Linked DNA regions of Caenorhabditis elegans. The protein of the gene in region 1 interacts with the protein of each later gene in a pairwise test. Each region holds a gene or a part of one and is shown in the gene's direction. Other genes may lie near its edges.

Region 1 (9,789 bases):
ACAACAACTTGACCCCCAAAAATTGTGTTGAACAGCAGCAGCCAGTGCCCTAAAGAAAGAAGGTGAAGGAAAGAAAAGGAAAATAAAAACGAAATGAAGATGAGATTCTCAGGATGATGAGGGCAGGAAGAAGAAGGTGTTATAATAATTATTGAATGAGGGAGAGAGACCTGTCAATTTGAAGAAATTTAATGAGAATTTCCTTGACACAGGCAGCAATAATTGATTGAATTTGGGATTGTTTGTTCAAGGATTTGAGAAATTTCAGAAATACGTTCCATTTAGTCTCGGTGATGCCTATTAACTAAATATCTGTCTTCACGGCGACCCACCCATGCCTACTGCCAAACTATGTGCACTTTTATTCCAATAATTAATTAATGAGTGAATTCACATTGTCCAAACAACGAAATCCGGAGTTAAGAATTAAAATAAGCGGTAGGCAGGCGCGCAAGCAAGTAGACATCAGGTAGTTATGCACTCCAGGTGACGTGGAAAAGTTATGGAACTTAAAGTTAGGATATCTGAGACATTTTTTTTTCTTGCCTGACATTGGTTGGTTTTATCACCGATCTATAGTATTGGAGCACGACGGTGACACCTTACATCTTACAAGCATCGTTTCAGAGTAACAAAATTTAAGACATCCTGCCAAAACATTTTCGATCTAATCCATAAATTGACAGCACTTTTTGCTCCTAGAACCTTAGAAAAATTCACGACTTTCGTGGTAATTTATTATGCCGTCACAATTCTAAAGATTCCTTTCTGGTCAGCTACAAATTATGACATCAACCAAAAACTCTGAAACTGGTATTATCATTCACCTGACGAATGTCTTTGAAGTTCCGAATTGCATCCCTTTTACCAGATTCTGGATCGAGTTAAGTACAGTATCTAGAAATCTAATTCAAGTAAACCCTGCCATTTCCACCACGCAAAGCTGTTTTGTTTTGAATGTTCAGTTTCTAAAACCGTACACATTTCCCTTCTCTCTGCTTCAGGCCTTTCAATTTCCCTAATAGCCATTCGAATGCCAAAAGAAACCAAAAGCTTTTGCCCCCTCTCCGACGGCGCGTTCCCTTCTTTTCTCCTTCTTCCAACAAACATTGGCTAAAAGAGACGATCCTCTCCTCGAATCACTTTGGCGGATCTCTACAGGCCCGATATGCAAGAACAGGTTCAAGGGGAAGAAGAAGCCTCTCTGTGTCGTCGTCGTCGTCGTCCAGCAGCGTCCATTATGCAAGAGAGTGCGCGAACAAATGGGGGGAAACCGGTCCCTTTCTCTGATTCTCTGATCCTCTCTTCAATCAGTGATCTCTCTTTGCTGTGTACAGCCATACCTCACACTCTTCGGAAGAGAAGAAGACCACCGTCGAATCCGAATCCATGGATGAATGGTCGTTGCGCGCGCGCGAGCGACAATTCTCGGGCGGCGTCATGACTGACCGTGACTCTGCATCTCTGAAATTTCAATACTATTTATTATCCTTTTCTACCGTAATCCATTCTCTCACTCTCTTTGCTTCCAATTCGTCCCATCCAACAGTAGTAGCAGCAGCTATTTTCTCGCTTTTCCCCCTTTTGTACAAACTCTTATTATTCATCTCCTCCTTTTTATGAACGATCTTCCTTTACAATTTTTTTAGTACATTTCAAATTTGATTTCATATTTGCCAAGCTACCGTATTCTTTTCCCAAATCCCCACATTTTTTTGTTTGAAAGTTGTCGGCTCCTTTTCTGAATTCTGAATCACACGTGTTTCAAATGAAAAAGACAAACAGATCTGACCCCGCCTCGCTCTTTTTCTTCTAAACTTTTAACTTTTTTTTCTCACCCGTCACTTTTTTTGAAAGTTGCCAATTTAGGTTTTTTATACAAGCTCTGGAATTTGTGCCCGCGGTGATGGGAATTTTCGAGGTTTATGAACAAAAATTATGTGAACAAGCTTGAATTTTTCTGAAATATTAAAACAATCTTCAAATGAACTTGTTTGGTTTTCAGTTCTCCGGCACATATTCCTGAGCAACTCCCGTAGGCTTGAAATTAAAAAATTAAGTTTTTTCAAACTTAGCCAATTGTTTTAGTTTTTATTGTTTAATACGAATTATTGGGAGTATCTAAAGCAATTTGATGCAAAATCCCCACAAGTCATAGTCCGTCTTTAAGGGTATTCCCTATATTAGTATTAAATCGGACTGCTCACCTTTTCAGCTAATATCTTGGTTTTTTGTTTAGATATCCGAAATTGCACAACTGCAGAAATATTGAAAATTAGTCCGCAAATGTTTTTATAGTTGACAGTTTTTTGATACAACTAAAGAGAACCGAGATATAAGCCGCGAAAGTTGAGCAACGAGGTTACTTGTTGGATCGACAATATGCATACCGTATTCCCTTGACATCTTAAAAAAGTTTCAATTCAGAAGCTCAACTCTGAAATTAACTTGGAATTGAAAAAAATTGAGCTATTGAACTACTGCCTCTTCAGATTTTTCTTGAGACGTTGACGCCTGACTTATGCCTGTCTACCTCTTATATTCTGTAATTTAGGTTTTCGTTCAGTTCTTGTTGACTTTTTCAGTAGGCAGTATTGAAGATAGGTAGGCAGGCGCACATCCCGGACGCCTTAATAAGTTCCTCCTTTAAAAAAAACATTAATCTATTATTGCACAACCTCCCATCATCTAACCCACCTACCGTAATCACCAACTTTCCCTTTTTGCTCTTCTTAACTCTGCACTCTCCTCGGTCACCCAGCTATTTCACCCCAATTCTTCGAGTTCTTCCTTATCAAGGTCTTTTTGACAATTTCGGCGCCGTTTTCCTGATTCTCGCCCTCGCCTTTTCCCTCTCCGTGCTCTATTACTCTCTCGCTCTTGTTTTGAAACTTTTATTTGAATTGGTTCACTTTTAATTTGTCTTTCTTTTTGCCAAAAATTATTTTTATTTTACCAGAATCATGTTTTCAATTTCAGAAAATAAATCTCTCTTCTCTTTTCCTTCGATCTCATTTTAAACAAAACCTGTAAAAAATGGGTCAAGGAAGTGGGGATGACGGTGTTCCGCCGGCACCGTTCTCTTCGGCTGCTGCGGCAGCTCACTCACCACCTCATTCTCCCCTTTCTGTCGGCGTTTCTTCTGCTTCATCTGCCACGTCATCATCTTCCACACCGCCATCATCCACGTCACCTGCCGGAGTTTCAGCGTCAGGTAAGTTGTGATAGGATACTGTAACTCGGCCCCCTTGGCAGCCATCCGTGATCTACATTTGCGAAGAAATCGAATCAGCCAAATTCGTTTTTCTTCCCTCCACTTCTTTTTTTTCCTTTTCGGATTTCTTATCAAATTTCAATGCCGCCAAGCTTATCATCGCCGCGCTATCACTTATCATCAAAATGTTCTTTTCCCTCTTGAACTAGACGTGGACACCATATAAAAAAGAACAAATGAAAGTGAAAACAAAAAAAACAATCACTTCAAAATTTAAACCGAAAGAAAAAACTGTGAAGCTGTCATTTTATACAATGAACATTTTAATTTCAGGTGCGAGAAACGTTGAAACTGATTGGAAGCAGTCGGGAGATGAGAATCTTGCCGAATTATGTATATTTCATGTTCCAGACAAATCTGTTAGTTTGGTGAGTTCGTATTTTATAGTCTATAAAGTTTTAAAAACCGAGCCTGCCTGCCTACATGTATATTTCTCTAAAAAAATGGTTTTGGAACAAAAAGTTCTCTAGAAATTTGGAAAGTTCAAAACGTTCCATAGAAAGTTTGAGATGTGCACTAAAAAGTTGCTTTTTTGCCGACCGTTTTTTTGCCAGGACTACAAAAATAGTATGAGAAAGTTAATATACATCGAAAAAAACCATTTCAATTTTAATTCCATTTATTTTCAGCCAAATCCAAAGCGAGCAGAATGCACACTTCCTATGAACCTAATTCTCAAGTCCTCCTCAAAAAATCGAAAGAAATCGTCAATATGGTCATCTGATCATATTCCGAGAGGAGTCCGATTTGGCCCGCTCGTTGGAGAAATTCGTTTGGTAGATGTTGACACAGCACTTGTATGTCCTGCTGAAGCATCAATGGCTGGAGGTGGTCCAGCTCAAGAAGATGTTCCATTTGATGAAGCTCCGGAAGAGTGGAAGATCTATTCTCCATCAGGTGGCAGATTGAATAAAACGATTTGTGTGAAAGATGATGCGAGATCAAATTGGATGAAATACGTGGCAGCTGCTGAAGAGGAAGATTTTCAGAATCTTGTTGCTGCACAAATTGGAAATGATATCTACTTTTACACAGTTAAAAAGATTGAAGCAAATACTGAATTATCATTTTGGTTCAGCAGGGACTACGCAAGGAAATTAAATTATTCAACAAGACCATACGTAAGAGTTCGAAGGCCAGCTACTCAACTGATTCCATCTGCACCACCAGCTTCTGCATCAACTGCAATTGCGAGTTTAGCAGAAACAATTGTGGCAATTGATTATTCAGTTAAAAAACTCATTGAATCACCCATTGATACACTCTCTACTGATGCTTCTTCTGCAAGTGACGAAGAAATGATTGATGTTGAAGAGCAGGAGAGCTGTACACGGCCTGTTGCAGAAGTCACACGGCCTAATGTTATCCAGAATCCAGTTGTGAGGCCTGTTGCAACCAAAGTCAATAATTTCCCGGGAATACCCGTTCGACTTGGCAATTTTTATGCAAGTCCGTTGGTGGATTTTAAAGAGTTCATGAGGAAATCCCTTCAATTAAGTGAGTTTATTAATCCCACTCTGAATCTCTGATAAGCTGAAATTGAAAATTTTGAAAATGTAACACTTTTTTTTGAAGTTTTTTTCACTGGAGATGCAAAAAGTTGCTTAACATTTTGTTAACAAAACTTATCAGAAACAGCTAAAAACGCCATATGTCCTTGATGGGGATTAAGCTTCTGTCGACAAACAAGATACATTTGTATACTTTTTTTTTGTTTTTAACACATCAACTTAAGTTTAACAATATTTTCAGTTTGTTAAAATTGTTTCCTCAATCAATTAAATTATCAAATTGTTTATGCTTTACTATACTTTTTAATTAGTGATCTACCTGTTTTCGGATTTTCGGCAGCTTTTATCCCGTGCGGATGTGGTTTTATCAACGGAAAAGTTTTCAAAATACATGTTGTATGTTTATTCATAATTTTATAGCTTACTGTTAACTGCTAAGTTAAAAACAAACTGGGGCGTCCTAAAAAGTCCTGAAAACAATTGAACCCTATTTCAGAACTAGTTGATACCTCAATGTTTGTGTCCCCTGTTGCTCAAACAACAGCCGCAATAACTGCCACTGGTGGAAGATCCGGCCAGCCGATTGATGTGCAGCCAGTACTTGCAGCAACTGCAGGAGCTCATTTTGGAAACTATGCAGCAATTTATGGGAGTCAAGATTTCCAGCATGAGCTATCAAAACCTCTGTACACATCTGCGTCTCCAGCATTCGGAGGTGGTGGTGGTATGGGTGGAGGATTTGGAATGGGTGGAAGTGCCCATACTTCTTCATTTCATCAACTTCCATTTGTTAATCATTCGTCTTCATCACACAATGATTCATCATTTAATGGAGTTCCAAATGTAAGTTTTACCAAAGAAGATTTTTAATTTGTTGAACTTGATGGTTGATGGGAAAATATTTTGAAACATTCTTTTTAAAAAACAGTTGATATTTAAATGTTTAATACTAGATTTTTTAATTTTTTTAAATTATATATTTTTTATAATTTTTGACCCTGCCTCTATTTATCTCTACCTTTTATCTCTACCTTTTCTATGTTGATCCCAATAAAATTAGCAAAGTTTTGATACATAAATCAATTGATTACCGGGTGCTTTTTTGTAAATCTTTTTCAAATCAGGGCGCAAGGAGGGCGATTCACACGCCTAGACCTGGTAAAATGTCTAGTTATTCCTTTTCATATTTTCTACATGAAAATAAATTTAAATTAAAATTTTTCAGTACGTGCAACAACAGGAAAATGGAAAAACGAGATACGCTTGCAAAGACTGCAACAAAACATTCGGACAGCTTTCGAATCTTAAAGTTCATGTCAGGTTAGAACTTTTCTTATTTTCCAATTATTTTTTTACTTTCAACATTTCAGAACGCACACCGGCGAACGTCCATTCAAATGTGAAATTTGCACAAAAGAGTTCACACAGCTTGCTCATCTTCAGAAGCATCATCTTGTTCATACCGGAGAACGTCCTCATCGCTGTGATATTTGTGATAAGCGATTCTCGTCGACTTCTAATTTAAAAACTCATCTTCGACTTCACAATGGTCAGAAGCCGTATACGTGTGATGTTTGTGATGCCAAGTTCACTCAATACGTTCATCTAAGACTTCATAAACGTCTGCATGCAAACGAAAGACCGTATAGTTGTGGAACATGTGGAAAGAAATATATTTCACCGAGTGGATTGAGAACTCATTGGAAAACAACTACATGTAAAGAAGAGGATATGAAAGACTCGATGAGGGATGATTTAATGGATATCAAAGGCGAAATCGATGAAGGATCAATGTCAGGGTCGGGTTATGGAAATCTGGGAATCTTTGAAAATACACTGGTAAGTAATGAAGATTATATCGAGTTATACATGTTCCGCCGTTTTTTACAAAATGGAAACTAAGTTTTAAAAAGTTGATCAAATTTTTAATACTGTCCAAGTTTAAGTCGACAACGTTTCCTCTAATAGTATTGACCCACTTTTCCTAACTTTGTAAGTTCATATCTTAGTTGCCTATGGTTTTATCGAAAAATTTCTAACTGAGAAAATATTGAATTTGTGAAACATTTGGAAAAATATCTTTAGTGGACCGAGATATGAGATGTCAAAGTAGAGTAAGTGGGCGCAAGACTAATAGAAGAAATACGGTCGTGAATAAATTTTTTTGCTCGAGTTTTAGTTTTCGAGCTTTAGAAGAAATCAAGTAAATTACTAACAACAGCTTTGCTTCTGCTTACATTTTCACTGCTTTCAGAACTCCGAACTCAAGCGGCCACTTATGCCAATCGAAACCATTTATAGTGTAAGCTTTTATATTCGGCTTCATCATGCATACAAATAAATATTTCTTATCTCACTTTCCCATTCTCATCCTACAATTTTCAGAAATACAATCTTCCCAACGCCTCCCTCCTCGGTCAAGGTCCAAGTGGAATGCAAGAACAACAGGCTCCACCACCAACATCTCAACAGCAGCAACACATGATGTATGGAAACACAATGGGACATATGGGACAAGGATCCCATCTTCAGGGGCCACCACCACCTCCACAACATTTCCAAATGGATCATAGTGGAATGCAGAATGGAGGAGGTATTCCACATCAACATCAACTTATTCAAGGAGGTCCATCATCTGGATCTGGTCAACAGCAACATCCACAACATAATGGGATTCATAGGCTTCCTGATTTGAAAAATCCCCTACTTCCAAGCCTCGGATTGCCGCATTATCCATAATTATCATATTTATAACTTTATGAAAACACTACCCGTCTCCCACAATCCAGTCATATCATTTGTACTTGAGCTTCTGTGTAGGAATTAATGCCTCCACTGCGTGCCTCACAGCACTGCCTATTTTGGTAGAATAACGCAAATTTCATCTGAAAAAAGTTAATGTGAGAATGTAGATATAGAAAGATGTTTGTTAAGTTCGAAAATTCATTTTATTTCTATATCCGGATATTTTTCTATATTTTAACATTAATTTTTTATTGAAAAAATAATTTAACCAAAATTAGCAGTTTTTGGAGTGCCTGTAGGCAGGCGTGTAGGCATTTTATACCTACACAAGAGCCCCTGCTTGCTTCTCCAGCATCTTAGCATTTTCATTTTTTACTATGCTACTCAAATATTTTCAGATCCCTTTTACCAGTTTGTTTATAAGCCAGGTAGAAAACAATTAGATCAATTTTTTTCGCAAAATCTCAAATTGTTCTTACACCTTCCTGCCCCTTTCTCCATCCTCCCATTCCAGAACGAGTCTCTCATAATATTAATTGTATTCAAAAACTTCAAATTCAAATAATTCCACAAAGAACCTGAGTTAAAGTTCAAATAGTTCGTTTCTCAAAATTATCAGATTTAATATAATTATTTTTTTGAAATCTTCCATATACACCGCCTAAACCTATATTATCTTTTCATTCTCTCATTGTCTCTTGCTTTATCAGTCCCCTTTCATTCTTATCACTGTCAAAATTTTCTATTTTTTATTCAACAATTTCCATCAAAATCTTCCGGCATTTCAACACACCTATCTGTGATCATACTTTCATTATATTTTTGCAATTTCTTTCTAGAAGTTGTTTCTATTTTCTAACTTTTTCAAAACAATATCTTGTCTAATTTTGTATGTATATATATAAACTTTGAAAACTTGATAGGATTACATACATACTAATTTTCTCGAAAATTTCCGGCAAATCGGCAAACCGGTGAGGTGCCAAATTTGCCGGAAAAACGGCAAATCGGTAAGTTGCCACAATTGAAATTTCCGGCAAATCGGCAAACCGGCAAAGTGCCGAATTTGTCGAAATTGAAAATTTCCAGCAAATCGGCAAATCGGTAAGTTGCCAGAATTGAAATTTCCGGCAAATCGGCAAATTGACGGAATTGAAATTTCCCGATTTGCCGTAATTGAAAATTTCCGGCAAATCGGCAAACCGGCAACTTGCCGGAATTGAAATTTCCCGATTTGCCGTAATTGAAAATTTCCGGCAAATCGGCAAACCGGCAACTTGCCGGAATTGAAATTTCCCGATTTGCCGGAATTGAAACTTCCGGCAAATCGGCAAACCGACAGCTTGCCGGAATTGAAATTTCCCGATTTGCCGAAATTGAAATTTCCGGCAAATCGGCAAACCGGCAAAGTGCCGAATTTGTCGAAATTGAAAATTTCCAGCAAATCGGCAAATCGGCAAGTTGCCAGAATTGAAATTTCCGGCAAATCGGTAAATTGACGGAATTGAAATTTCCAGCAAATCGGCAAATCGGCAAATTGCCAGAATTGAAATTTCCGGCAAATCGGCAAATTGACGGAATTGAAATTTCCCGATTTGCCGTAATTGAAAATTTCCGGCAAATCGGCAAACCGGCAACTTGCCGGAATTGAAATTTCCCGAATTGGCGTAATTGAAATTTCCGGCAAATCCGCAAACCGGCAACTTGCCGGAATTGAAATTTCCCGATTTGCCGAAATTGAAATTTCTGGCAAATCGGCAGACAGGCGAAATGCCGAACTTGTCGAAATTGATAATTTCCAGCAAATCGGCAAATCGCAAATTGCCAGAATTGAAATTTCCGGCAAATCGGCAAATTGACGGAATTGAAATTTCCCGATTTGCCGTAATTGAAAATTTCCGGCAAATCGGCAAACGCAGCTTGCCGGAATTGAAATTTCCCGATTTGCCAGAATTGAAATTTCCGGCAAATCGGCAAAACGCAGCTTGCCGGAATTGAAATTTCCCGATTTGCCGTAATTGAAAATTTCCGGCAAATCGGCAAACGCAACTTGCCGGAATTGAAATTTCCCGATTTGCCGGAATTGAAACTTCGGCAAACGCAGCTTGGCCGGAATTGAAATTTCCAGCAAATCGGCAAATCGGCAAATTGCCAGAATTGAAATTTCCGGCAAATCGGCAAATTGACGGAATTGAAATTTCCCGATTTGCCGTAATTGAAAATTTCCGGCAAATCGGCAAACCGGCAACTTGCCGGAAT
Region 2 (8,145 bases), 5.2 Mb from region 1:
TGATCGTCTACCTTTCAAGTCTGTACTAAACTTTTGAGAATTGAGCAACTCTGTAAATTTTGTTACATTTTCTGACTTTCTTATCGCCTGCCCAGTGATATCTTCTCGTGTTTGACCCACTATGGATCATCATCATCATTTTTATTTGAATCAAAATCATCGCGCATCTTCCTCTCTACAACACCTACTTTCCCCGGGGCGGGAGGCAGAAAAGATTGCTAAATAGATTATGTGTGACTATGGAAGACGTAGAAGACACACGGGAAGTAGATGAAGAGAAAGGTGAAGCTGAGAAATTGAACGAGAATCGAAAGAGAAAAGAAACACAGTTTACCCTTTCTTTTTCTTTTCTCTTACTTTTTGGTTTTTTTTATTTGTTTTTTTTAAGTTTTGATGTCCGAAATATATAATCCTGCTGACATGCTCATAATTATTAAAATGTTTCAACAAAATTAACGGCCAACTGTAACTCAAGTGCAAGAAGTTTTTGAATAATTGTTCTTCATAATTTCAAAAGATTCTGTATGTTTCAACAGAAACAAACTATCAAAAACAAGGTCCGCTCTGCCGCTCTGCCATTAGAGGTAAACTTGTGGTTTCACAATAATTATAGATATATCCGAAACTTTAGAATTATGTATATAGTTTTTCAGATAATTTCACAAGTGACAAATAACAGTCAATAATAGATTTTTACCTCACTAGACATCTCCACGTTTGCCGTCTTCTCACCTTTTTTCCCGCCTCGTGCCCTCTCTTGAGCCGATATTTACTAATCGATATCCTATGTAAAAGACACCGGCAAGTTGGTACCATACACTCCCATTTGTCATCTTGCCGCCTTGCAAAGGTTTTTTTTTTAATGTTTAGTATACTTTTGAAGATGTACCAAATTTTTGGATTTTGTAGTTTTGATTAAATAGTCAATTAAAACTGCATTTAGCTTTTTAGTGAGTTTTAAAGTTTTTTGAGGCATGATTGTAAATACTTGGTAAAATTAGAAATCAATTTTTTGAAACGTTCTATGCTTTGATGTCTGAAAATCTAATTTTTTGTAATTTTATTCAAAGAGATTGTTGACCAATATCGTGACCTCCCTTCTCTAAAAAAATTTCAGTGTTATGTTCTCTTGTATCTGAAACTGTTTTTTGTTGCTGTTGTAATACAAGACAGCTTTCCCTCCTTCCTCTCATTTCTTCAAGTCAGTAGCCGTCTTCCTCTCGATGATCTCGAGACACTTTCACCTCTTCTGCCCCCTCTTTTGCCCCTTCCTGAGTTGAGAACCGGTTCCAAATTCTGCCGATTTGCGATTCTCTCTCTCTCCTTCTGCGCATCAGAAGCTGAAGGCATCACCGAGCGTCGAGACTGTGAACACTTTTCCTCTTTTCTACCTCCAAAAAGTTACATAATACAGTTTTTTTGGAGGAAAGGTGTAAGGGGGCAGAAGTCATGATTCATTCGAGAGTGAACGCTAAATGAGATGAGGAGAAGGAAAAGCTGGTTTCGAAGAAGGATCAAGGTTACTGTAGTTATCAAGTAACCACTTGATCATAGGTTTTAGTTTGGAGTGTGCTAGTCTAGCAGAATTGCACATAACTTTCGATATCGTTGGGCACATATTTTGACTGTTTTAGAGTCGCCATGTGCATATAGTGCCCGACTTCGTTGACGATCTGTACATCGTGCATCGTAATGTCTATGAGGTACCTGCTGAAAGCATGACAAATTAACTGTGTAGGCAAAAGTTAGGAGCTCTTTTCTTTAGAAATAAGCATATTTGAGAGTTTCTTCAGTTAAAGTTAACCCAATATTTTGTTGTTACTTTTTTGATATCGAACATGGCAAGGTTTTTCACGGTCAGAGATTTTGAAATGTTCCAAAAAATACCAAAGTATGCATCAAAAATATAAGCCACCTTTTTTCAGTTCATTTAAGAATCTATTAGAATTAGAAATCTATGTTTGTCTAGATACCTTGCTTATTTCTCATTGGAAATACAATTATCTTTGTTATATTCAGAATTTCAATAGTTGAGTTTCATGTCTAACTCATCCCAAAATTCTTGTTTATCCAATTTCCCATGCAATCTAGCCACCTCAATGTACCAAGTTACTTGCCTCCTTTCGGAACTCTGCCGCAAATAACTTGGCACCTCGTGGTCCTTTGCAAAGTGCCGTAGAGGCGGTCTAGACACGCCTTTTTCAGGACGGGAGGCGGTGGTTGTAAGGAGGAAGATATACTTGTTACCATTTAGTTTTTCTCATTTCTGTTTTCTTGGCACCCTTTTTGATATTCTTTTCTATATAGTATTGTTTCACTTTCTGTACTTGGGTTTCCAAGATGAATGCTCTCTAAATGTGTCAAACCTTTTGCTCTCTGAAAACTTCCATTTCCAAACCATTTCTCTCATGACATGCCAATCTACCGTACATATACACACAGTAGTAGTACATCATCTCGTTTGGCCAATGCCAATTACAATTACCAAATGTCAAACCATTACATCATGCGAGAAGCCTCACTACCGCACTCTCGAAGTACACAGCTTCTGCTTCATTCTCCTACTTCGTTTTTGCCCCTTTCTAAAAATACCAGTTTTCTGATGCTTCTCCCCCTTATTCTATTGTGTTGTATTGTTATGTCATCACTCTTGTCATTGGGTTGTACAACATCCCTTTTCTCGAGAGAGAGAGAGAGAAATGAAAATGAGACAGAAAGGCAGTTTGACCTGATCATCTCGAAGAAGAATCAGTCAGGCTTATCATCAAAAATTGAATAGATTAAGCTCCTACGGTCATTTGCTAATTAACTTATCCAGCTAGAATCGTGGTAGTCATGATTGTTGATATTTAAGTTCTTATTTTGAATTTTTTCCTTTCTTGCCGTCTCTCTCCTTTTCCATACTTTTGCACATGTTCCAGCTTTTCTCCAGGAAAAAATTATCAGTGCTGGCTCTTATCAGTAAGCAAGTGACCGGCAACTAGAACCCTGCTTTACTATTACTTGAAAGTTTCTAATTGTATAGTTGGTTACGTTTCTTTTTGGAAAAGTATACTCTTGGTAGATTCTACCGTATACTTGTATCCTAAAGTATACTGTACTAAAGATACACTGAACGCCACCTTGTCTATCTCCTCGTAGAAATCTCTCATGGAAACGGATCGTAGACATCTTTGAATCTCTTATTCTCTCTAACTCTCGTTCTTTTTGGATTTTCCCTATATTTTCTGCCGAAATTCGGTCTCCTGAATTTCACTTTCTCTTACCTTTCTCTTTTAATTTTTCCACTTTCCGTTTCAACAATATTATTTTTCGTATTACTTTTTATTTCAGATATCAAATGGATCTCCAAAAACCGCCCAACTTCATGCTGGATTGTGGAATGGCTCCGCATATGATGCCGCCGATTAACTGGGCTGCGGCCGCAATTGCAGTAGCCTCATCGACTTCTGGAGCCACAAATGCCACATCGTCTAACTCGGTTGCCACGTCACAACAATTACAACATCATCCATATGGGACAGCAGCTGGAGGCTATAAGGTTTGTGATACGGTTTTTTTGGTTGTAAATATTGAAACAATGGGCTTTACACTTTGATAAGTGATAAGCTGTCAAAAGGACATCAGGAAGTGGACACAGCCCTTTTTGTAATAATTTTTTAGTAAACAAGGTAATAAATTTAGTAAAAACAAAAAACATGATACTTTGCACTGGTCATCTTGTTATCTTATTTTTTGAAACTTCTAGAGTGGAAGAGCAACAAATTTGAAAACTCTTTTCTTATCAGTTACTTGACATTTGCACTTTTAGAAATGTTCTCAACCTAGAAGTACCAAAAAATTAAAAATTGCTCTGAAACAAATCCATACATTTTCAGCATGCACAACAAGCGATTCCCAAATCAGTGACCCCGTATTCGGATGCAACAAATTGCAAAAAGTCATCAAATCACATCAAGCGACCAATGAACGCTTTTATGGTTTGGTCTCAAATGGAACGGAGAAAGATTTGTGAGCATCAGCCAGATATGCATAATGCAGAAATCAGTAAGCAATTGGGAAGTCGTTGGAGAAGTTTGACTGATGAGGAAAAAGCTCCATTTGTTGCTGAAGCTGAGAGACTCAGAGTTTGTCATATGCAGGTTAGTATGGGAGAATATAGTTTAATTCAATTCAATATTGATACCGAATTTTCTATATAAGTAAGAAATACAGTAATAATTTTTGAACAAGTGTATTTTCACTAAATAATTTCAAAACGTATTGTGCTGATAATAGAGGCTTCATACCAATCAAAAGTTTTCCGTAATCGGCATTTTCGGAAATTCAAAAATACGACAATTATCGAGTTCAAAAAAGTTAAAAAAAAAGAGAATAATTTGAAAAAAAAATTTGAATTTTGAACGAAAAACAAATTTCTACTATAGTCAGTGTAGGAGGTAGGTGAAACAATATAAGCTTTTCATTAAAAACTAAAAATTCCAATATTTTATTTTTGGTGATTTTCCGAATCTCAGAAATTTTTAAATATTCGACGTTTTTGGCAACTGCCAAATTATCAAATTTTAGAATATTCAAATAGTAGCTTACCTCTGTGCCACACAGGAAATACTGTAACCGGATTTTTCGAATAATTGTATTGTAATTTTAAATTTTTTCAGGAATATCCAGACTACAAATACAAGCCACGCAAGAAGCCAAAGAAGAATCCAGATGGAACACTTCAGCAGCCAGCTCAACCCCAAGCTCCACAACAGCAACAGGCCCCACCACGTGGAGCATCACCACAGGCTCGTCAACGAAAACGTCCAAACACAGATCAACAGTCAGAAACACAACAATTCCAAAACTTTAAATCAGTGAAAGTGGAGCAAGATTGGATGGGAAATGCTCATATGAGTCATGCACAAAAGATGCCATTTCATCCATCGTATCCATCACCTTCCGAGTTTGGACATGCTCCGTTGACACCTGAATCTGGATTTTATGATGACTATTTTACACAGCAACATCATCAACAGCATTTTGCATCACAACATCATAATTCGGCAGGAAGTCCCCTCAGAATGGTTAGTTTTTATAGATCACGAAATGCTTGGAAAATTCAATATTTTCAGACGAATCTTGGTATGGACATGGGAATGCCACCACAAATGATGGGGCATAATTCGGGATTTGGAGCTGGTAATCATCCTTTCTACTTGCACACTTCACCACCATCAGTTGATCAGGTACGGGTTGTCTCTTTTGCATGAGATTTTGTTTGAAGCACTTTTTGTTTGGGAGTACGGTAGGATGTAGTGGCTAAAAATTTAGAAAATTGCCAAATTTTATTTTCTGAAAGGTGGGGAATTTTATCTTAAAGAAAATAATTAATCACTCAAAATACTTTATATTTGTCAAAATTTTCAATCAAAGTTTTGCAAATTATCAAATTTCCGAAGAAATTTAACTTTATGAGAAATTGTTCGAGCCCTTAGAATTTATAGAAACACTTACTTGTGATTCAATTTTTACTTAGGTTTAGTACTTAAAACCCGTTGACTGTAAATTTTAAAAAAAGTTCAAAAATTTTTGAATTTTTCTGAAGTGGATTAAGTAGTTTCTAATACATTGTCGATATTTCATCTTTTATATTGAAAAACATTTAAATCATAAAATTCTTAGTACTGGCCATTGGATTTTGAAAATTTATATTATTAGTCCTTTTAGCGTAAATCCTACCGTACTCCATTTTCCACTACAATCCCTTCCCAGCATCCATGCTTAACATCCTAATAACCGCTTGTTTTCCTTCAGATACCTAACCCAATGATTCAGAATCATAATCTTTATAACATGTACCACTTCGCACCATCACCAGCACCAACTTCAACACCACCAGCACAATATCCTCATGAAATGTTCAAAACTCATGAGTTTCAGGACGACATGCGTAGTCTATCGTCTGGATCTTCGGGATACGCCGACTGTAGTGCTTCTGAACAATCAACGTCATCACCAAACTCGGCGGGAGTCGTCACAATGGCTACGGCCGCTACGACTACAACACATTTGGATGACCTGGAGCAGATTTGTCCAACTGTAACCACAGGCGAGCTGGTCAATTATCCATGGAGCGATGCATTGGGAATTGATATTAATTTTTCTTGAATATTTCAGACAAGTTTTTTTTTGAAAACTTCTGAAAGTTCGGGTAGTAAGTAGATCGCTACGTCCAAATGTTTTTTTTCACTGTTTCTTCTGAAAGCCCAACATTTTCTGCTCCTACCTCAATTCTAGCCTCTCCCCTGAAACAATTCTCTCTTTATCTCTCTCCAACAATTTTCGAGTGTCCCTTTAGTCCGGTCTTAGTACCTTTTAATCCCCAGCATTTTCTAGTTATTTACCACCTTTTTCTGTATTTTTCTCTTTGTTTTCCAGTATTTCCTCAACAAATCCAAGCGATTGTATTCTTTCATTTCTTGAAACCCTAAGAGTATTTCTACAAATCCAAAAAGTAATTCACTAATTTCAAATTGAAAGTATTCTTCTACAAAAGTATCGTCCCCATTTCTTTACCCATTTTTATCCTCTCCCAGCTTTACCGAGCCAGTTTTCATTCGTTCTTTCAACTTTCATCGATTACCCAATTCGCCGTTGTACTTGAAAAAAAAAATTTCTGAGATTTCAAGCACGAAATTATGATTGTATATGTTGAACACTTCCCCCCATCCCCTGCCCTCTACAATATGCCAAATGTAGCTACCCTTTTTCCCAAACCTGAAGAAATATTTATTCTCTTGTTCATCTCTAAATATCTCTTATCCTTTTTCACTCATCTTTCCAAATTTTCAGTATTGAATGAATTTCTTCCTCTTGATTTCATTTATTATTGATTGATTTATGTTTGTCTCCTTTTTCTGAGCAATAAAAATCATTTAAAAAATTAACTTGTTTTTGATTTCAAAATACATAGATTTGTGGAAATAATATACGTTTAATTAATTTTTTCTGTTCTGTAAATTAAAATTCAGGTAAATACCTAGCAATTTTCTACTATTAATTAGTTATTGGCAGCTGCGGCAAGTGTGTGACACAAATTGAAAAAACTTCCCTAAATAATGTCTCGTAAACAGTCTCGTAAAATATGTATGACATATTACAATTTAACATAACAGTTCAATCCTGGCCTGAAATCAATTTTTGTGCTGGTAGAACAATTGCTCCGTGAATACTGCAATAACCGAGCAGTCGGGAAGCCGCTTTTCTGGAACCTCTTGTTTTTTTTTGCAATGTCATTCTCGGAATTTTGGCACTTTTCTGAAACCTGCTTTAAAAAGTCACACCCTGTTTTTGGCTCCAACAGCTTTGAAAAAAAAACAACCTTCAAATAAATAGTGCATTCTATCATCCGTCCTTCACAACCTCAACTTGTCGGCATGTTTCTTTTTCTCTTTTTTTCTTTATTTTATCTTTCGTTCCAAATATTGGACATCAATTTCCGACATTTCGAAAGTTCTTTTCCCCAATTTATCGCAACTCAAAATCTTCAAAAAGTTCTTCTAAATTACTAAATCACACCGACCTCCAACGACGTTAACGGTCGTCAAACGAACCGGGTAAATTCTAAGATTGGCATCTCGAACACGCGACCGGCGCACGACCGTTTTTTTTGTTTGAATTGCAAAAAAAAAGACGAACCGAGTTGTTTTTTAAGTCGGGAAAGGGATTCAGTAGCACTCCTACATAATGATCGAATTGCAAGCAAGACCAACAGAGTCAATACTGTATAAACATCCTGATTACATGAATTAAAAAAACAAACCCTTAAAAACAAATCGAAACGCATTGATGATCCATGAAAGCTATGCTGATGTAACAAATCCTTCCTCTCCCACCCAAGAAACAAGTTTCATCCGAAGGTTCACCTATGTCAGAAGGTGATATTCTCGTCGTTAGCCATTCTTATCAATTCATTCTTGTTTTCATCCAGTTCCACGACTTCTCCCTTTCAAAAGATTTTCTCTTTCGCATTTTCATTTTATTTATTTCACTTTCGTAAAAGATTCGAAAATGATTTTATTTTTATTTTTATTCCTGTTGTTAGGATTTTGTATCGGTTAGTTTTAAATTCAATATTTAGAGATTACATTGTTAAATTTA
Region 3 (6,957 bases), on another chromosome or scaffold:
AATTGCAAAACGAAAGCTTATTGATTTCTATTGATTTTGATTGATTTGATTGTTTCTCGCCTCCAAATTTTCATCTTCGAAACGGAAAATTGTTTTTGGAATTAAAAAAAAAACACTATTATAACAAGATTTTCCATTCAAAAGTATAAAAACTATCTGAAATAGTGGAAAATTGGGGAAAAATAATAATTTATAATAACGAGATTAACAAGATTTTTAGATTTCAATCACAACACATTATGTAAAGATACCATTCGATTATTTTGAAACTACCTGAAACAGTAAAAATTGGGAAAAAAGTACCGACGGATAATAAAACGATCAGTGGCATGGCAACTGTTCTCCATATCCCATAAGATTCTTTAAGAATTACCGCAAAGCACCTGAGAAGTTGTAAATCGGTAATTGAGTTGTAAAATGCATGACACTTCAGGGGGTGGCAGAAATATAGAGAGATAGAGAGCGCAGAGAAACGAGAGTACTCTAGCTTCTCTGCGTTCTCTCAGTCCAAAATGTGGTCAGCTTTAGGTGCGTTGCGGTTGCGTAGCGGTTTTTCAGAAGTGGGTAAAAGTCGGGATTGACGGGAAAGTTACTGTGCAATAGAAAAACAAAATTGGGCTTCAAAGCGTTGCGGTCGCGTCGCGGTTTTTCTGGCAAGCATGCAAGTTTTCAAAATTCTTAAATATTTAATAAATTCCGGTTCCTAAAAATAGTTTTTTAGCTTATTCTAATTGTCAATTTAAAATTTAAAAATATCTTAAAAACTAAAAAAGCTATTGAAAAATCGCTAACCACAAAATTATAGAAAATTAAATTTTCCACAAATTCGCAGTTGACAACTTTTTCCAAATTTATCCGGAACCAAGATAGACGTATTAGAAGTTGGTAGTGGCCGAGGTTTTTCACCTCCACGGCCACAAGGCCAACACCCCCCAACTCATTATACCCCCGTGGTCCTAATGTGGTAACGCAATAATCTGTGTGTGCGTATGTTCAAGTACACATACCCCAAAAACTTGCGTAATTTCTTTGAATTTACCGCTATTCTGACATACGGAAATTTGAATATTATCGGGGGAAACGCGTGAAAACGTATTGAATGGAAAAAAATGTTGAAAATAATTTTAATTTTTTCGTGAAACTGGGAAATAATTTTCAAAAAAAACGTGTTTTTTTTTCAAAGTCGCCAACTAAAAATCAATAATCGAAAAAATCAGTTTCGAATTTTGTTTAAAAATTCCATTCCACTGAAACGAAGAAGAAGCCAAATGATTGCACAAGTCAGTTTAAGCCTGCCTGCCTGCCTGCCTGCAAAAAATGCTCCGAAATTTACAGCTCGTGCTTCCAATTCTTGTGATTTTCGGATCTCTGGTGATGAATTGTGGCGGAAAGAAGAAGAAGTCAGCAAATTCTCCGGAAGGAACAAATAAATCAAAGTTAGGGGCTCCAAAGGAGAAGAAGGATGAAACTGTGAGTTGTGTGACCGCGACGCGACCGCAACGCGACCGCAACGCATTGTTTAATTAATTTTGCTGATTTGGGATACGTACCACAGGTTTCTGCCTTCCCTCCTATTCTGAAATGTAAGAGTTTTGCCGAACTAGGCCATTTTGGCTCAGTAGATTTACGGGGCGTTGCGTGTCGCGTCGCGGCTCGGATTTGTCCGTGTGAAGTACACGACACTTTCCCACGCGTTGTCCGGCAGGCGATTGTCAATAGAGCGCGAATAATGCAATGAGGAAGGTCCTACTTTTAAAGAAACAATTCTGATTTCAGGAAGGCAACTACGAGGAGCTCGCCGTGCCACAATAATTTTCAGGATTCTCATTTTTCACTTGAATAAACCAGTTTTATTGGGATTTTTGTGTTAATTTTTGAATTTTTGAATTGGTGCCTGTTTCATGTGAAGCATTTAACAAGTGGAATTTACAAGGGAAAATTGTTAGCAAGTTGAAGTACGAGCGTTTTTTACAGAAGAAGTAGTATCTCCTCAGCCATTGTAGCTATCAAAAAGTTGTCAACTGGGAAAATATTTATAAATTTATGTTGAACATTTTTTTAGTTGGCAACTTTTCACTAGCTCCGATACTTTTTCAGTTATGGTAGTTTTTCGCGCAAAACTCCAACTAAAATTACCGATTTTTAAGTTTGAAGGCTTATATCTCCTTAGCTATTGAAGTTATCAAAAAGATTTTAACTATGAAAATATTGCAAAATTGATTTTAAACATTTTGTTGGTTGACAACTTTTTATTAGCTCTTACACTTTTCAAGTTATGCCCAGTTTTCCCCACGGAACTCCAAGACATGCCCACCTATTGCCACCTCGTTATACATTTAGGACCACCACCAATCTCTTTTGCGGTACATTATTCAACTAACAGCAGACGGTAGTTAGTTAGTTAGAGAACAACGACGCAACGATTGCGCCATTACAGTTCAAATCATCATAAAAAGAGCCGCCCGTCTTTAGAGACCCCGTGGGCAAATGGGGGAGGAGGCGGGTCTAGTAGGGCCTGTAGAGGTGTCCTGTTTGCGTGCAGACTTTTTCTCAGCATGCGGTAGCTCATAAGTTCCGGTGTAATAGTTTGGTAACTGTTGAGTAATACGGTTTTGGTTTTGAAAATTTAAAAAAAATTCTGTTTCAAAAAAATTTGTTTTATTATAATTTTTTTCAACTTATTACTGTGTTCTTTGGAAGCTTTTTCCTAAATTTCTAGCCATTTTCCACCAATTCTCCACCAATTTCCAGATTATTTCCAGATGATGACAGACATTCAACAGCAGCTGGCTGCCTCGAGAATGTGTGATTCGGATTCTATAAAGGCATTCAATCAGATGTACGCACAGAATCCGTATGGAGCAGGAGCTTTTGATAAGGTTTGTAATTTTTTTTGGAATTTTTCTGAAATTTGAAAAAGTAAAAAAATTTTTTTACTGTTTCAAAAATGCTTTTTAACAAAAAATTAAATTTTTTTCTTAGAACTACTCCGCAGCCACTGCTCTCCCATTTTTTGCTCAACATTTCGCGCCATACGCGAATCCCCATGCCACGTCATCTTTTTCCCCGTCATCGTCTTCCACGTCATCCACCACGTCGTCTCAAAATCAGCAGAGTGGCAGCAGTGGGAGTAAGAAGAAAAAACCGGTTCCGGTGCCGGAAAATCAAAAGGATGAGGTAAGAGATTAAATGGCCGAGAAATGAGAAAACTCGGCCACCAGAAAAAAACGGCCGATCTGCTAGTGTTAGATGTGGCCGAGAAAAAATGGCGGCCGAGGTTTCCTGGATTCCTTCTGCCACAGGGTTCTGGTTTTCCTCATTGAATGTTTCGCGCTCCATTGACAATCGCCCGCCGGACAACGAGTGGGAGAGTGTCGTGTACTCCACACGGACAAATCCGAGCCGCGACGCGACACGCAATGCGACGTAAATCTATCCCAGATATGGCCGAGCCAAAATGGCCTAGTTCTGCAAACTCTTCCATTTCAATTTATGAGGCCAGAAAACCGTGTTCTGCTATGAAAATTGAACTGTTTTTTTTAATTTCCGCTGGTTTTCAAAGTGGTGGCCGAGTTTTTTCTCTAATTTCACTGCCACGAAGTTGAAAAATTGATTTTTTTAAACTGAAAATAGAGTTTTTTTCTGATTTTTCAGTGAAAAAACGTTATTTTGGACCAATTTTGCTGATTTTTCTCGTATTTTGCATTTAAATCGAGATAAGTTGACAATTTTAATGTAAAATACAAAAAAAATCAGCAAAAAAGATCCAAAATAAAGTTTTTTAGCCGTATTTTTCTTAAAAAGGCGTATGAATTAAAAAGTCGTATGAATTTAAAAAGTCGTATGAATTAATAGCTAGCCACGTGTCGATTTACGGAGGCCGTGTACTCCTCGTGGAGTTGATTTCTCTGGGTTTTCGTTTGAAAAAAGTATTTTTATGCCAATTTTGCTGATTTTTCTTGTATTTAACGTTTGAATCGGCAATTTTTGAGTTAAAAACTATAAATTATGTCATAAAATGACAATTTACCATCAAAATCCAACAAAAATCAGTGAAAATTGGCCAAAATCAAGCTTTTCAGCCGTTTTTTTTTCTTCAAAAAACCAGTGTAAACTCTTCCACGAGGAGTACACGAGCTCCGTAAATCGACAGCTAATAGTCCAAAATCCTCTCGAATAAATCCAATTTTCCAGGCCTATCTCGACCGGCGCCGCCGAAACAACGAAGCCGCCCGTAAATCCAGAGAATCTCGCAAGAAAGTCGATCAGGACAATAGTGTTCGTGTAACATATTTGGAGAGGGTACGTTTTCAAAATTTCCCATAGATAATAATCCTTTGCATCATTTTTTTTGGCGGGTTTTTTTTTCCAAAAAAGGGCTTAATTGATGACGTCATCAGTCAACAGGTGTCAGCCTGGCTACGCAATAACTTTGAGAACGCGCCCACGCCGACTTTTCCCAATTTTTCAATAAATTTCGGGAATATCAGATGGCTTTTTGTAGATAACCGACACTTTTAAAAGTACTTTTTGATAGTTTTGCAAACGCGCTCTAGTGCACACGTACAGTAACGTTTGTTCCCTTAATGGTGTTCCACTTTTCGATATGTTCACCAAGAATGGTGTTGGAAAGATTTGTTGGTTTGGAGCAGTAGGTAGTGGACGCAGTTCGGTGTGAGCACTCGTTGGATCAATTCCAGGGAGTGGCTTTTCTTTTTTGTTTCGTTAAAGTTTAACTTTACTTTTTTTTCGGACTAAAAATAAAGAGTAACTCTGATAAAAGGCTTAGTTCTGACGGCATAAAATTTTTATCAATCAATTAATAATTATTTTTTCTCCAGGAAAATCAATGCTTGCGAGTCTACGTCCAACAGCTCCAACTACAAAACGAATCGATGAGACAACATTTGCTCCTGCAAAATCCGGGCACTATAGACACTATGGACCCGATTGCCATGGCGAATATGCCGAGTTATTAAGCTTCTCCCCTCCCACACAAAATCATCTCATTCTTGCACACACATTCAAATCCTTGCTTCTGTATCGAATTTCCACACACCACCCTCTCATTGCGTCACTTTTTTTTTGTAATTTTCTGTAAAAATATAGCTATTTTTGAAGAAAAATGCATTTTTTCAAAAAAAATAAATGAGCGACTACGGTAAGCAATTCCGAGTCTGCAAACACCGTCACGGCAGAATGCACAGAAAAACTCATTTTCAAATTATTTTTCGCTCAGTTTTCGCTAATTTCTCCGAATTTTCGCGTTTTTTCTTTAATTTTTGTTAGTTTTTGATTGTATTTTGTCGATTTTTCACTCTTCGAAGCTGTACCGACTGTAATTTGACACTTTCCGCACGAAAAAATGAGAAAAATCTCAGAAAATAGGTGTATTCAGATTTTTCCCCATTTTCCTCCGATTTTCTGGGCATTTTCTGGGCATGTTTTTCAAGCTAAATTCGCTGATTTTCGAGCTAAAGCAACTTTAAAATCCAAATTCTCTAATAATAAAACAGTTTTTCAGCTTACTCGACTTTTTCCCGGAAATTTCTGAATTTTGCTCATTTTCCGAGGTATTCGTGGATTTTCCTCCCGCTTTTGACCAGAATTAATGCTGAAATTCAATTTTTCAGCTAATTGTACCCTAAAATTGGACGGAAAAATGATTTTTCCATTATTTTCCCGGCAAAGCATCACCTGAGTGATTTTTACTACTTTTTCGACGGAATATATAACGTTTTCAGTAATTTCTCGTTAAATTTCCCAAAAAACTCGTTCAAAATGCTGGAAAAAGTCGAAAAAACTCGAAATTCCAAGAAAAACCAGTTTTGAATATTTTCCCGGGGGGTACGGTAGATTTCGTCGTGTGCAAACACCGTCACGGCAAATTGCACAGAAAAACTCATTTTCAAATTATTTTTCGCTCGTTTTCTCTGATTTTCTGCATTTTTTCATTTTTTCTATAGCTTTTTCATGATTTTTTCGGGTCTAAACATCTAAAAATCACTAAAATTGCATAATTCCGCCGATTTTTCAGCGCTTAGAATGCATTTTTCAGCAGGAAAGGAAGAAAATTGATTGATTTCCGTTAATTTTAGTTTCCAGATCACTTTTTGTGAGAATCGTTCGCTTCGGACTCCGATTTTCTCGTAAAAACCGCCGAAAAAGCCTTAAAAAAATGGAAAAATGTGTTTCTCGTCGTCCACAATATTTCAACAATAAAACTAAGCGGAAAACAAGAGAAAATTAAGGATTTCGCTCTCTCCACTGCATTTACGAGCGAGAAAAACCAATTTTTAAGCTGGAAAACGTGTGGAGACGCAGAGAAAACGGGCGCCCTCTCGATTTCTTTCTCTATTTCTCTCTCTCTGTCTGTTCGCTCAAATTTATGGGCAGTCGACATGCAATGGAATGGCAAAATGGATGGGAGCCGCGGCTTGACCGCAACGCGTCTGTCTCCGTGCGGCGCGGTCGCCTGTTTTTTTCCTATTATTTCCATTTTCTGCTTATCAGCTCCGTCCGTTATTCGCTTATCAGGAGAGTTCTAAATTATCACTTTTCGAGAGAAGTTTTTCGTTTTTTTGGTTGCAAGTTGTGTGCGTTTTCGTGCTGGGAAACGTTTTTTTTCCCATTTTTCGCCGTATTTCCAGGGGAAATTGTGATTTTCACACATTTTAACTTTGAATTTTCATAATTCCGGTGCATAGTCCAATCCCGGTCGTTTTCCATTCCATTTCGCAGGGAAATTGCTCAAATTTGACCAAAAAAACATCGAAATTTGAGTGAAATTTTCATTTTTGATGGAATTCCTGCATTTTCGCCGTATTTCAAGAGGAAACTGTGAATTAAAGCTAGATTTAAGCTAATAATCCAATTTCCCTGGTATTCTATGCCTTGAAAAAGTCAATTTTGACAGTAAAGGCTGGAATTTCCACTTTTTTAATGCATTTCAGCCAA
Region 4 (6,997 bases), on another chromosome or scaffold:
TCCTGAGATCGAGACGAATTCGGGCTACTTTCAGTCCGATCTGTTGAAGGCCGAGCCTGATCAAATGCTCCCCAATCGTCATCATCATCGTCGTCTTCGTTATTGAAACCATCCATTTTCAACGATGGAGGCGGCGATTGAGGTCTCTGAAAAAGGAAACATATTTTGGTCGAAACTTTCATTTTGGATATGAAATTTTGTTTTAAAAAGTTGCACGTGGGGTCAGAAAGTCCCATTTCGCTTTGATCTACAAAAAATGCGGGAGGTGAGACGCAGACATCTCAACTGATTTCGCATGGTTAAGAGTGTGCTGACGTCACAATTTTTCTGGGAAAAAAATCGCGCATTTTTTGTAGATCAAACCGCAATGAGACTTTCTGACACTACGTGAAGTTGGATTTTTGCAATCTTCCGCGATTTTTTTTTCATTTTGTTTGTGATTTTTTAAAGAAATTTAGGACAATTTTGGATTTTTGCAAAAAGTCGCTTTGAAGTCTGAATAAAAGCATTTTCGGCGTATCCTGCGCGCATGGGTCTCGCCACGCTGACATCGAAAAAAAAAATTCTGAGAATGCTGCGTATTGTGCAACACATTTGCCGCGCAAAATATCTCGCAGCGAAAAAGAAAACTACAGTAATCGTTTAAATGGCTACTGTAGTGCTTTTGTGTCGATTTACGGGAGATCGATTCTTTAATTAAATTCTTCTTTTCAAATATTACCGGTACAGAGAGTGTAGATAGTTGAATGGACACAGACATTCCGGAACCCAAGGGGCGGGGCGCGGGAAGAGACGATTTTTGTCGATTTACGGAGTGTTTTTATTCACAAACTCTCCGTAAATCCATACAAATCGGCTCTTCCCGCAACCTTGGGTTCCGGAATATCTGTGTCCATTCAACTTTCCTCATTCTCTGGACCGGCAATATTCGAAAAGAAGAATTCATTTCAAAAATCGAGCTCGTAAATCGACACAGAAGCACTACAGAAGTCATTTAAACGATTACTGTAGTCTTCTTTTTCGCTACGAGATGTTTTGCGCGTCAAATATGTTATGCAATACGCATTCTCAGAATTTTTTGTACAAATATTGATGTTTTTATTTTAATCATAAGATGGTTAAATTTACCAACAACTAATTCTTAAATTGATTAGCACTTATCAGTGTCTTATCAGCAATCAAATGACCAAAACATCTAATAGGACGAATTTTCGCCTATTTCTCAGCAACTAACAATGCAACTTTCTCATTCTTCATGTCTCCTGTATCATAGACAAATTGATTAGCTCACGTAGTGCCAGACGGTCCCATTACGGTTTGATCTACAAAAAATGCGGAAATTTTCGCCCAAAAAAATGTGTGACGTCAGTACGTTTTTAACCATCCGAAAACAGTTGAGAACTCTGCGTTTCTTCTCACCCGCATTTTTTGTAGATCAACGTAGATCAATCCAAAATGAGACACTCTGCCACCACGTGTAGCTTCTTCTTCTGCTGCTGCTGCTACAGTCTGTGTGTACAAAAGTCTTCTCACATAGTAGGTAGGTGCAGACTTCTTTCTTTATCAAATCTTCCCTTCTTCAACATTACATGGCGTGGTTTTCTCGTGGCATTTTCCAAGAGAGGCTCCACCCCCCCCCCCCCCCCCATCGCATGTACTTTGTTCATTGGTCAAGAAGAATCGTATATAACGGGCAGCGATAACGTCCCAAATCTTTGTCGTATGACGACGGGGACGATCGGAAATTGAGAGGAGGAGGGGGTAGTGTGAAAAATACATGAGGACGCGATGAAGCTGCTGGTCAGCAGCAGGCCCCAAGCCACTGTGTTTTATTGCAAGACAGTTCGATCTTCACGTTGATATCAGACATATATAGAATATACATCTCAAGGTCTTCTATTCTCATTTCTTAGGCAGCCTGTTAATATGTTGATAATGAACAATCATTTGACCGCCCGTTTTTCCGAGTCACTTCATCAAGGACTTGATTTCTTTCCAAAAAAACTTCCAAAACCACCCAGCAAATCATTGTTTCAAAAAAAGTTTGCTCAAATGATTAGAAATCAAAAGTTCAAATGTTTTTTTGCAACAGCTGTCCCTAGCCTGTCTCACATCACAGTTCAATTGTTGTAGTTTACCTCTCCTCTTCTCCTTCATTTTATCTCTAAAACGCATCGATTCGGGGGCACTTTGCATTTGTTATCGTGTCTAGTGTCTCTTGGCATTATTCTCGTTGTCACAAAAAAAACCAATACAAACAAGGCGTATTTCAGGTCAAAATGACACCTCAATCGTCTCCGAGCTCGTCTCGTGATCACGTTTGTCTCGTTTGTCAAGATTTCGCTTCTGGCTACCATTATGGTGTCCCGTCATGTGTCGGATGCAAGACATTTTTCCGGCGAACAATTATGAAGAAACAAAAGTACATTTGCCAATTCGAGGGCAATTGTCCAGTTGATAAAAGTGAGTTATTTAGCACACTTGGTGTCAGGCTGTCCCATTTCGGTTTGATCTACAAGAAATGCGGGGATTTTTCGCCCAAAAAATGTGACGTCAGCACGTTCTTAACCATGCGGAATCAGTTCCGCAATTCTCGTAGATCAAAACGAAATGGGACACTCTGACACCACTTGTTAGCAGTAACAAGGAACTTATAAAAAATATTTCAAAAGTTCAGCTATCCGCTGTGCCTGCCGATACTGCCGATTCGAGAAATGTTTGAGCGTGGGAATGGACCGAAACGCCCTCCAACAAAACCGTGACCCTATCGGATACACAAAACGTACCAGGCGTCCAAAAAAAGAGCTGAAGACTACCTCGGACTGTTCAAGTGACGAAGGAGCAAGCACCCCACCATCAGTGTCTCCATTACAGCTATCGGTAATTAATTAGTCCAATTACGGTTTGATCTACAAAAAATGCGAGAATTTTTTTGCCCAAAAAATGTGTGACGTCAGCACGTTCTCAACCATGCAAAATCAGTTGAGAACTCTGCGTCTCTTTTCCCGCATTTTCTATAGATCTACGTAGATCAAGCCGAAATGAGAAACTCTGACACCACGTGATCCCAAATTACAGCCTCCACCAATCTCGCCACTCCTTTTCCAAGCTGCACCACTGAAACCTCGTCGCTGCATCCTACAAACTCTTGCCGAACGCGAAAAGTGTGCAAATGATCTCCGACTCTCCGAATATCTTCCAATCCGATCTCTCCACGAGGCTCTATGCTCAAAGGCTCTGCTGAACGACACGGCTTTTTTGGAAAAGTGGGGACAGCCGAGTGAGAGACATCAGATCTTCGATCTACGATTCGTCAATCACGACGACTACCACTATTGGCACGAGAGAGACTGGTTCTTGTTGACAGAGTATGCCAAAACATTCGATGTTTTTGAGGCGCTCGATTATCAAGATAAGGTTGGAAGAAAACCAGAAACATGTATAACGATTTAATTATTTCAATCCTTTCCAGGCCGAACTTGTTCGCCATGCCGCAATAACAGTCCCAGTCCTGGTTCAAGTCTGGAACTCCCCGGACTACGGACCAGACACAATTGTATTCCCAGATGGTGCCTACTTCGATCGTACTCCAGAGCCAACCCGGTAAGTTGTCGGTCACATATACTCCAAACCGAGCCCCAATTCCCGTCTCGTTCCGCGTTGTGTTCAATCGTTATAGGCCAGCCGGACTCAACAGGAAAAAGTATCAAATGTTGGATCTCGTGCTCAAGCCGTTCCGTGATCTACAGCTCGACGCAACCGAATTTGCAGCGTTCAAAGCGGTAACGTTTCTGAATCCAGGTCCGGGCGGAATCTCAATAAGAGCCAAACTTTCACTTTGATGCGATTCCAGACGCTGACATCTCTCTACCGGCTCGCAAGCTTGTGAACAACGAACGAGTCCGCATCACCAAGCAGTTATACGGCTACATGGCCATGAAAGACGACGTGGACACGGCAATCGAAAGGTTGGTGAAATCACGTTTTTCCTTCCTTTGATGCATTCATCTATTACTCGCTTGTCGATCAAATCAAACATTGATAGATCACAATTTGATGTGTCTTGTTGCGGACTAGCTAAGTAAGCTAAGTTGGAACACTTTGACCAAAATTTCGGTAAATTCTCTAAATTTTGCTAAATTTTCAAATTTTTGGTAAAATGCTAAAATTTTGGTAAATTCTCAACATTTTGGTAAAATGCTAAAATTTTGGAAAAATTCTCACAATTTTGGGAGGCACCACGGAAACGAGAACATGTGAAAAAGGAGAATTACGAAAAGGAGAACACAAAACCACGCCTATTTATCCGTGCCGAGCGCAAGTTTTTGCATAAACTTGTGCAAATTTTTATTTTCAAACGAGACAACGAAGATCCGAACTAACGAATTCGTGTGATAAACAACACGCGATACGTTCTTTCGGAGCTTCGCGTTATCTCGTTTGAAAATAAAAATTTGCACAAGTTTCTGCAAAAACTTGCGCGCGGCATGGAAAAATGGGCGTGGTTTTGTGTTCTCCTTTTCGTAATTCTCCTTTTTCACATGTTCTCCTTTCGGTGGTGCCTCCAAAAGTTTTGGCAATTTATTAAAAAATTGGCAATTTACCAAAATTTTAAGAATTTACCAAAATTTTGAACATTTCCCAAAATTTAGGCAATTTATCAAAAAATTGGCAATTTATTAAAATTTTGAGAATGTACCAAAAGTTCGGCAATTTACCAAAATTTTTAGCCCCCGGCACTGATAGATCACAATTTCATCCCCGTGTTGCAGATTCGCACGATTGGTTCTGATGGGAACGTCCATGTCAAAAATGGCGTGCGAATCGAAAGAGGCCGTGTGGATTGCAGACTTTTTCGAGAATATCGGCTTCTCGGCGTTTGCCCGGCAACTGTTTTTCGGTGATACGACGAGCGTTGTTGCTCACAAATTGTGAAGTGAATAAATTTAAATTTAATAAATTAATTTCCAGAAATATTTACACGCTTGAAAAAAAATCTCAATGCTAATCCTATTTATATACGTTTATTATTATTTTTTTTTTTTGGTATTTTTTTTGCAATAAAGTTTTAACTTTTTTTTCTTACCGCCTGAATTGGTGCAGCAGCAACAACGGCTTCTCCAAAATCTCCCCACTCATCGTCGTCATCGTCTTCTTCTTTCTGTATTTCCGAATTTTGAAATCCCGTAAATTCGTCCTGTGATAATGCAGTCGTCATCTGAAATTACGGGATTTTTGGGGTAAATTTTTGGCAAAATTAGTTCAATTTTTAGAACATTTTTTGACAAAAAAAATTGATTGCAAATTTTAATTTCAAAATGTTGCATTGCTATTTTAAAGTTGATTGAAGGTTTTTGTTCATAATTCAAAGCAGGGGTCGGGGGCAAACGATTTTTCCGGCAAATCGGCAAACTGACAATTTGTCGAAAATGACATTTTCTGGCAAATCGGCGAAATTGCCGGAATTGAAAATTTCCGGCAAATCGGAACACCGGCAATTTGCCGAAAACGAAAAATTCCGGCAAACCGGCAATTTCCCGAAAACGAAAAATTCCGGCAAACCGGCAATTTCCCGAAAACGAAAAATTCCGGCAAATCGGCAAAACCGGCAATTTTCCACAAATCAAAATTTCCGGCAAACCGGCAATTTACCGAAAATGAAAATTTCCGGCAAACCGGCAATTTGCCAAAAATGAAAATTTCCGGCAAACCGGCAATTTGCCAAAAATCAAAATTTCCGGTAAATCGGCAATTTGCCAAAAATGAAAATTTCCGGCAAACCGGCGATTTGCCAAAAATCAAAATTTCCGGCAAATCCGGATAGGGTTTTCTTCAATTTTTCATTTTGAAACATAATTTCACAATTTTTTTCGGAAATTTTTCCGAAGAAAAAGTTTTTCTACTGTTAAATTATTGATTTTCAGGCCAATTTTAGGATTTTCTTAACTGAAAAATTTCTGTAAAAAATCGAAAATGTCGAAAATGACGTCATTTGCGCGGGAACTTGCACAAAAAAATAATTCAACTCTTTCTACCTATTTTTTTGTTGCAAAACTGAAAAAGTATTTTTAATAAATGTAGGAAAATTCCATAAATTTTTAAACATTTATATTCGGTAATTTGACACTGTTTTATTTCATTTTGGGTACAAAAATGTTTTTTTAAATAGAAAATTGGAGATTTTAAGCTAAAATTAGCCAGTTTTTTAAGAAAATTTTAGAAGTTTTTTTCCCGAAAAATTGGAGATTTTAAGCTAAAATTAGCTAGTTTTATAAGGAAATTTTTGAATTTTTTCGAGAAGTTTCATTACGGAAATCGTTAATTTCAGCATATATATATATATATATTTCTTACCGTATCTCCCTTTTCATTATTATCAGATGCTTCTGGAACAGCTTCATGTCCGGCAGCCATATCCTTCACAGGAGTCACCGACCGACTTCTTGATGCTGATGGAAGCGGTAGGCTCGTCGAGTCGGGCGAATCGTCGACTTCATCGTATTCGTGCTGCTCACTTTTGTCATAGGAATCGTCGACAGCGACGCCGCAGAATGGAGGTGGACCCCCATCGATTTCCATCGATCGGCTGGAAATTTAATCGATTTTGGATGGCAAATTGGTGTGGGAGAGGGATATTGAGAAGAAATTCGAGGCACCACGTTTTCAAAATCTGTTCGCGTCTAGTTTAGGATTTTTTTCGTAGATCTTGAAAATGTAGATCTTGTTTTCGTAGATCTTGTTTTTGAAAAGATCTTGAAAACGTGGTGCCTCATAAATTTCAATAGAAATACAAAAATTGCGTGAAAAATGACTCAAAAACACCGAATTTCATAACGAAACTGTTCAAAAATTGCTCAAAATGTTTTTAATGCCGATTCAAAACTCCGGAAAAAAGTAATTTCACCCAAAAATCCAAAAATTTCGCCATTTTTTCCTTGTTGCCGCGACAAGGAAAAATGGCGAAATTCCAGATTTTAGCAAAAATCGATCGATCGGC

Evidence for each region.
Region 2: the proteins of blmp-1 (region 1) and sem-2 interact in a two-hybrid assay, tested with the Caenorhabditis elegans proteins (one large-scale study listed by BioGRID).
Region 3: the proteins of blmp-1 (region 1) and zip-7 interact in a two-hybrid assay, tested with the Caenorhabditis elegans proteins (one large-scale study listed by BioGRID).
Region 4: the proteins of blmp-1 (region 1) and nhr-114 interact in a two-hybrid assay, tested with the Caenorhabditis elegans proteins (one large-scale study listed by BioGRID).

The regions. Positions count from the first base shown.
Region 1 is NC_003279.8:10,406,323-10,416,111, forward strand, and holds blmp-1 (B lymphocyte-induced maturation protein 1 homolog), read left to right. Parts: upstream 1-2,979; 5' UTR 2,980-3,036; coding exon 3,037-3,214; intron 3,215-3,547; coding exon 3,548-3,642; intron 3,643-3,903; coding exon 3,904-4,771; intron 4,772-5,281; coding exon 5,282-5,628; intron 5,629-6,010; coding exon 6,011-6,105; intron 6,106-6,155; coding exon 6,156-6,624; intron 6,625-7,039; coding exon 7,040-7,087; intron 7,088-7,170; coding exon 7,171-7,524; 3' UTR 7,525-8,451; downstream 8,452-9,789. UniProt on the Caenorhabditis elegans protein: Transcription factor which binds to enhancer elements in the promoter region of genes. Regulates the expression of the transcription factor bed-3 to control vulval development.
Region 2 is NC_003279.8:5,203,317-5,211,461, reverse strand, and holds sem-2 (Transcription factor sem-2), read left to right. Parts: upstream 1-3,333; 5' UTR 3,334-3,340; coding exon 3,341-3,541; intron 3,542-3,878; coding exon 3,879-4,142; intron 4,143-4,661; coding exon 4,662-5,069; intron 5,070-5,117; coding exon 5,118-5,231; intron 5,232-5,925; coding exon 5,926-6,153; 3' UTR 6,154-6,932; downstream 6,933-8,145. Other genes in the region: osr-1 (TPR_REGION domain-containing protein), read left to right, coding at 8,056-8,101. UniProt on the Caenorhabditis elegans protein: Probable transcription factor required for embryogenesis, vulval development and cell fate specification of the postembryonic mesoderm (also known as the M lineage).
Region 3 is NC_003282.8:16,501,475-16,508,431, reverse strand, and holds zip-7 (BZIP domain-containing protein), read left to right. Parts: upstream 1-2,749; 5' UTR 2,750-2,762; coding exon 2,763-2,879; intron 2,880-2,982; coding exon 2,983-3,177; intron 3,178-4,194; coding exon 4,195-4,302; intron 4,303-4,841; coding exon 4,842-4,979; 3' UTR 4,980-5,522; downstream 5,523-6,957. Other genes in the region: Y51H4A.935 (uncharacterized protein), read left to right, coding at 1,269-1,280, 1,336-1,470, 1,777-1,812.
Region 4 is NC_003283.11:4,184,930-4,191,926, forward strand, and holds nhr-114 (Nuclear hormone receptor 114), read left to right. Parts: upstream 1-2,273; 5' UTR 2,274-2,279; coding exon 2,280-2,463; intron 2,464-2,677; coding exon 2,678-2,880; intron 2,881-3,078; coding exon 3,079-3,417; intron 3,418-3,472; coding exon 3,473-3,603; intron 3,604-3,679; coding exon 3,680-3,801; intron 3,802-3,853; coding exon 3,854-3,968; exon of another isoform or gene 3,969-4,081; intron 4,082-4,772; coding exon 4,773-4,935; 3' UTR 4,936-5,075; downstream 5,076-6,997. Other genes in the region: Y45G5AM.9 (Aftiphilin clathrin-binding box domain-containing protein), read right to left, coding at 1-146, 5,087-5,218, 6,355-6,579. UniProt on the Caenorhabditis elegans protein: Probable transcription factor which may have a role in detoxifying dietary metabolites arising from bacterial tryptophan metabolism.